Bombyx mori: one gene and its partner. The protein of the gene in region 2 purifies or fractionates together with the protein of the main gene of each other region. This does not show direct contact. Links are inferred from orthologs where the notes say so. Each region holds a gene or a part of one and is shown on either strand. Other genes may lie near its edges.

Region 1 (3,663 bases), on a different chromosome or scaffold from region 2:
TAAATATAGAATTCAATTTCAAGGTTATTGTTCAAAATGTATTCATTAATGAATAACATTGGTAGTAGCATAATATTAGCGAGTTCAATTTCCTAAATAAAATAAAAACAATTGAAAATCATTCAAATCGGTTCAAACAAACAAAAACTGCACAATCAAATAATCTCCATTTCTTATAAACAATGATGGTATTTGTTACATTCAGCGGATATATTTTCTTGTTAGAAAATCGTATTAAAAGTACCAACATGATTTTAGCAAAATCTAATGTGTAGGCTGATTATAGATGGCCTGGATCGAAGGCCTTCCACTAACTAATAAATCAACAAAGTTTTTAGAAAAGAAACATAAAAAAACGTTGCTATAAATATATAAAAAGCATAATTTTTGCAAACAATCACATTTAATATTCTCGGTTTATTCTAGGCGGTCCTATTATAATTTTTTGTGAAGCCAGTTAAAAATATTGAATGTTTTCAGATTTGGACTTTTGGTTGTAATGACGAAGGTGCCCTTGGACGTGCCACCAGCAATGAGAAGGATGAAGGGACTCCCAAACAGGTTTCTTTGCCTGTCGCAGCTGTGGCTGTCTCGGCTGGAGACTCACACTCTGCTGCTTTATTGCAGAATGGAGATGTTTATGCTTGGGGGTCTTTCCGAGTGAGTTTTATTCTAAAACCTGACTTGCTCTCAGGTTGCATACCTACTTTATGGGTTTTTTAATCATAATTTAAAGTAGAAGATAATATTTTTACCAAATAATTTCTTTTGTAAATAGTATTTAGTTGTTAAGTATTAGTTTTTACATTTAGTATAAAAAAATAGTTATTCTTGGTTTAAATTGTGTATTTAAGTTACTTTTTTATTGTGTGACCAAGACCAATATTTTCAACAAACTCAAAGCAAAATTAACAAGAATCTTTAATTCAGGCAAATTCAATATGCTATAATTGACATCCACTTGGTTGTTGTAAAAAATTATAATTTACTTTAAGAATTAAGTACTTATCATTATGACTGTTGTTTACAGGATTCTCATGGTAGCATGGGACTGGTTGTCCGAGGGCGCGAAGGAAAACCCTGCAAAGAACCTGTTAAGATTGACATCGGAGAGCCAGCCGTAGAAATAGCATCAGGGGGTGATCATCTAGTTGTATTGACGGTACGTAACATTTCCTACTTCATACAGAGTTGGTTATGTGAGTTAAAGTCCAAGTGTTAAAAGAAGAACAACTCCAATGATGGTATAGTATCTCATTATGGTGCTTTTAATTTTCCGAGTTCCTCTGCCAAGGCAGACATGATAGTGACAGGAACAGAATTATGTGTCCATCATATACACTTTTTTCTATGTTACTGTAATATTATATAAACTACACACACAACTGCACACTAGCACCACTGACATCCCCTACAAAGCCCGCCCATTTCTGCCGAGGGTGGGGCGTTCGAAGGGTGGCGCATTTACGCTGTAGATGTCTATGGGCCCTGGTAACCACTTAACATCACATATGCAATAAAAAAAATGTTGCTTCCAGACATCAGGCGGTGTATTCACACTGGGCTGCGGGGAACAAGGGCAGCTGGGCAGGCTGGCGCAGAGATCAGCGTCTCGAGACGCCAGGCAGGGCTTCAGTATGTATACCTTTTCTTTATTCAGCCAAGAAATGTGCTTCAAATTCAGTTTACTACTTATTAAAGTACAATGTATTGTGGTACTGATTTGTAAATGTTGTGTTTTCATATTGTTTCCGTTTTTTATGACCTAATGAAAATCGTTGGGTCACGTTGGATGTCAGTGCCAATGGACCGGCCGCACTGGAGATTAGAGAGGCATATGTTCATCTGTGGATAGCTACAAACAGTACAGTAACTGTAGTTTGGGGGAATCGGGACACTTTCCAATCCCAAACCAAATTTTCAGTAGTTTATCTTAGGGTAATATCAATAAAATTGAGATTGAAACGGTACCAGAGGTTAAAATGTTCATTTACAATGCATTAATAACATAGTAAAACATACACAAAAACTTAAAAAATTTGCTTGACCTGATCCACCTTGGCTTTTGGGGTGAATCGGATCACATATGGGGACAATAGAGTTTTTCGATAGGGGTAGCACCGTTAGTTGTTAGGTAGGTAATTAACTTTTTAATATCTTTAATCGGTTACAAAACTGATGACTAAACTATTTAATATTCATAAACACTAAATTAAAGTCTTATCCAATTCAACAAATTGAAATCTCACAAATGCATTGTGACAACTCAGATTTGTCCGCTCTTCCCCCAATGTCCGGTAGTGGAGTAGTGTGGTGAGGTCCTTTTGTCCGTACTCTCCAATGTCCGGTGGTGGAGTGTAGTGGGTGTGAGTAGTAGGGTCCGGTTGTGATAGTGTGAGTAGTAGGGTCCGGTTGTGATAGTGTGAGTGTGCAGGCGCGCTGCTGGTGCCGGCGCGGGTGACGCTGCGGCAGGCGGCGGCGCGCGTGTGGGCGGGCCACCACGCCACCTTCGTGCTGGACGCGCAGCACGCCAGACTCTTCGCCTTCGGACTCAACAACTACGGACAGCTCGGTCAGTGCACCTCTCACTAGCCATCAACACTAGATACAGTTTTTTTGAAGTGAAACTTCTTTAAAATCGTTGTGAATCGTCGTCTGTGAGTTAAATCCAGTCATCAATGCTCCTTCCTAATATTATATACGATCTACAAATATTTATGTATACAAATAATAAAATATTTAAAATATATTCCAGGCATAACGGGTGAGAAACGTAAAACAGCGTTGTTTTCTCCGACCGAGTGTGACGCACTACGAGCCGTCGGAGACGATCACGCGTGGAGCGCTGTGGCCCTCGGACAACATCACACACTGACGCTCGCTGCCAACGGACAGATATATGCGCTGGGACGTTGTGAATATGGGAGGTATGGGAAATTCCAATATTAACCATTTAAAAAAAAAATTATAACAAAGCTTAGGTTCGAAATTGCAAGGCCGTCAGTCAATGCAAGAATAGCCTGACCCAAAATTTTCATATTCGTGCAAATTTTTATGCAAAACCGGCATATCCCTAGTTTCTGCCATAGATAACAAGTGACTTTGAAAACATTATATATATGTACTCGATATCAAATTTTAAACCCCTTATCTCCATAGTAACCATGGTAAACGTAGGCTACTTTTGCGCTTTTGAAATGCCAAAATTTCAAAGATTAAAAAATGTAAAGACAAGTCTCCTTTAAAAATTAGTTCAGATTGATTTTTAGTTATTTTTAAATTTAAAATAAAAATATAGGATCAAAATTAATAAAATTATTCCAACATTAAGAGCGGCGCGATAAATATGGCCTGGGGCGGCATCAAGCCCTAAATCCATCACCAACCTTAGTATATCACTGTTTTTGTACCACTGGTGGTAGGACGTCTTGTGACTCCGCACGGGTAGGTACCACCACCCCGCCTATTTCTGCCGTGAAGCAGTAATGCCTTTCAGTTTGAAGGGTGGGGTAGCCGTTGTAACTATACTGAGACCTTAGAACTTATATCTCAAGATGAGTGGCGCATTTACGTTGTCTATGGGCTCCAGTAATCACTTAACACCATGAGCTCGTCCATCCAATAAAACATTTTATGTATTGACATGTTGATTTTCCGCCAACA
Region 2 (3,763 bases):
GTTTATACTTAGTCATTTTTTTAAACACAACAGGAGAATAGAAGTATCACTTTCATACCTGCTTCAACTGCTTCAGCTTCTTCAATTGCGAGATCTATTTCCTCATCGCTCACATTGGACCAGAATTCAATACCTTGTAATGAAATCTCATCAATATCAGATTTCATAGCCTCAAGTGTTATGGGGAATAGAGCTTGTCCCATGTAAGGTTCCATATGTTGATAATAAAGTGATAAAATTTTCACCTGAAGATAATTTTGTTTGATTAAAAACTATTTTTTAAATTAATTAATACAGTAATTGTTTAAATTTAATCATGTCAATAGCTGGTATCCCAAAAAATAAGTCTTAGCTTTGTTATTCATGTTAATATTATAAATTTATAACTGAGTAAATGTAATATTAATATAAATTGTAATTCATACACTTTCATATCTAACTAATCAATCATTAATTATGAAATTTTACATAAATGCTGTCAAGAGTACAGAAAAGGACATAAAAGGATACTATCCACAAAAAAGTAATATTCCTGAGGTATATAATTTTTTCTACTTTCATGGGAAGAAAGCTAATGTGGTAGCTAAGGTGGTATTTTATTTTAATTTTAAATATAATACTTGGATTCACATTATATATTTATAAAACTTACTAAGCATTGCAAAGCAGCAACGCTGATTCTCATGTCACTAGACTGTGTGGCTTCACAGACAACCTCCATAATAAAGTTTCTTTCATTTTCTTTTTCAAAGTTCGCTCTGGTGAATTCTAGAGAGTTGAGCAAAGCTTGAGTAGCAGCTAGTCGAACATGATTACTGGGTTCAGTTGACCTCATGCCATGTATGATGGCCGTAAGAATTTGATTACTTCTTTCTGTTAATACTTCAGCATCAATATCCTGACAAATGTAGCCTAGAAGAATAAGAAATACATCAGTATTGTTAAAGAGATTAATAGCAATTTGCCTTTAGTTATAAAGCACAATTAAAACTGTAATTTTTTTTTTGTTTATTTATATAACATAATTTGTCATAGCTCTTTTAACTATCAAATGTTCATTCAGTTACCAATAGCCTCCAAAGTCGCTTCCTTTTTGAGTTCAGTAGATTGGACATGAACAACATTTTCTACAAGAATTGGTATTAGATCATTCCATTGTCCTACTGGGAGCTCAGCTACTGCCACATACGCCACACACTGTGCTGCTGAACTTGGACGACTATTCTCTGTTCCTATAGCAGCTAATATCTAAAAAAGAAACTAGTATTAAAATTAAATATAACTTGGTTACCTACACCTGATGGAACTTATCAGATTCTCCACCTTCATTAGTTCAAGCTCTATACTATAACTATACCTGAGACCTTAGAACTTGTATCTCAAGATGGGTGGCGTAATTACGTTTTAGATGTCTTGTGTGTTTGTATTTATTAGTGTTGTGTTAAATTATATTTATTACTAATTTTAATTTTAATCTAAGTAAGACATACAGGGAATTGCTATTTAGACAATAATTGAGCAATTTAGCTTAGAGATAATATTATATATATTTTTATTATTAAGTAACTTATTAGTGAATTTTTCAATGTTTCACTTGTTTCTTGTTTGCAATATTGCCTTACATTTTCTTTTATATAAAGTCGAACATCTTCTGCCAAAGCCAGCCATCTTTGTTGATATTGTTGTTTAAGTGTAGGATCTTTAGAAGTGAGATGATTTTTCAATTGCAAACCAGCTGCCATCCTAGCCACTTGACTGTTACCACCTTGGAGAAGGACATCGGACAACATTTTGATGAATGTTGTGAAATTTGTGGTGGCAGCATGGTCGAGGTATCTAACTGCTGCTTCCAATTCATTTCGATCTGTAAGCAATAACCATAATCTAAGTACATAATTTACAAAGTGAAGTACCCCAAATTTAACTATGTCTGTATACTGATATGTCACATGAAAACAAAAGGTGTTAGAGAATCAAATTTGTGAGGTCTTTTTTGTATTTTATTACCACTGAAACCAGGCGAGAATATGGGCCACCTAATGGTGAGTAGTCACGATCACTAATCCAAGTCATCCATGCCAAGGGAACATCAAAACCAATTGATTATTTAGTACCACTACTTCTTTTATTATAATTTCTTAATAAATATTTTTATACTTTGAAATAATGTTGTTTAAATATATTTTATACGGCCCCTGTTGCACATTGTTTCTTTCTTATTAGGGTATGTATGTACAAAATCGTTACCTATTCATTTAATACTACAGAATATCCACTATTTTCTAACCTTAAACTTATTTTTTTGTTTTTTATATGTACAATGAATTAAAATAGCTATTGAATTCAAAAGTTATAGCACACTTTTTCATTGAATGTTAATAACACAGACATCGTGAGGTTCGAAAGCTGAACTAGAAGTTTCCTGGATGACAGGTAAGCATTGCGGTTGGTGATACTAGATAAAATTACAGTCTCGTTTTAATTCAAATGCTTTTTGCTGAGAAATGCCATTTTTTTATCCATTCTACAGTTTTTCCGGATAAATTTCAGAATCATGGCATAGTTTATAGGTAGCAAAAGTACGTTATTTTCTATAACGCCATCCATGTTCATGTTGATGTTAGTCATATTACTTACCAGGTGAAACTGTCTTCTCAAGTATTTGTATAAGCGTTAATGTTGTTTCTGCGTGCATTGTTTCACTATTCTTAAGTTTATGTTGCAAAAGACTGACTCAATCCTGTTTTTTGAAAAATAGAAACCGGCGGACGACGGAAGAACACTCATGAAATATTGGCTATTGAGTATTGTTGCCAGCAGAGGGTATTTTTAATCTATACTCTATTTCAATTGTGATAGTGTAGGACACTGGCCCACGAAATCTGGTAAAGATGTCGCTAGCAGCTGATTTTTCAAGAAAAAAGTGTTTGGTATTTAATCAAGTGTAATTTCTCTCGATTTCCCCCAAAAGGCACATATAAACCACAATAAGTTTTTCAATTTCAAGTATTTGGTTATATATCATGACAATGATAAGCTTTCCAAGAAGTCCTAATGGATTTACCATAATTAATCTCAAATAGCAAATAGTTATTTATGCGAGCATTCAACTTTTGTCCAGTTCCTCATGTCACACATCTGCAGTAATGCTGTTGCCATTTGATCAGAAGGTGTGATACCGGCACTAGACCATCAAATATTGACCATGACTTTTATGGATGTGTTTTTGTTTAGGGCATTGCTTAATTGCTTAACCAGGGTATAATCAACATGATGACCGCTTACAATTATTAAAAATAATAATTTTTTCTTGGCAAGTAATAATGCGGTTTAAAATCCCTTACTTTCTGAGTCTGTCGAGCAACTGTATACGCAACTTATATTTTAATGCGTTCGTCGCGTTGGCGATCGTTCAATTGGTACAGCAACTACATAACAAGTTTTGTTACTTTCCCAATTTGACGCAAATAAACCTATATTGTATTGATGCTAGCATTAAAAGCTGTTGCTAATTCAACGATAGCTTGAGTGTCGTTATTTTCCACGATCGCTTCTGATTCGTCGTTGATGATTGTATAGATTTAGGCGTTCGTATTTTATATCAAATTTCCGGAAAGGCTTACTCAAAGTGTTCACTCCATACATATATAATTAATGTTGTGGGTTGTTTGTGCGGCATTGTTGCCGCGATGGAACTCTTATTCCATTATTACATATATTTTTACTATACCTATATTAACATGAATGTGATGAAAACAAAGCA

The links. Proteins that work in one complex are often made in the same cells at the same time.
Region 1: the proteins of importin subunit beta-1 (region 2) and regulator of chromosome condensation purify together in Homo sapiens (affinity purification with mass spectrometry; 3 studies listed by BioGRID and IntAct, counting the BioPlex papers as one, with this or other methods). This does not show direct contact. The link is inferred for Bombyx mori from reciprocal best matches to the Homo sapiens genes KPNB1 and RCC1.

What each region holds. Positions count from the first base shown.
Region 1 is NC_085130.1:7,892,993-7,896,655, reverse strand, and holds part of regulator of chromosome condensation, read left to right. Parts: intron 1-480; coding exon 481-660; intron 661-1,030; coding exon 1,031-1,162; intron 1,163-1,538; coding exon 1,539-1,635; intron 1,636-2,434; coding exon 2,435-2,572; intron 2,573-2,755; coding exon 2,756-2,927; intron 2,928-3,663. UniProt on the Homo sapiens protein: Guanine-nucleotide releasing factor that promotes the exchange of Ran-bound GDP by GTP, and thereby plays an important role in RAN-mediated functions in nuclear import and mitosis.
Region 2 is NC_085110.1:11,421,347-11,425,109, reverse strand, and holds the start of importin subunit beta-1, read right to left. Parts: upstream 2,834-3,763; 5' UTR 2,696-2,833; coding exon 2,638-2,695; intron 1,865-2,637; coding exon 1,623-1,864; intron 1,249-1,622; coding exon 1,068-1,248; intron 913-1,067; coding exon 653-912; intron 246-652; coding exon 59-245; intron 1-58.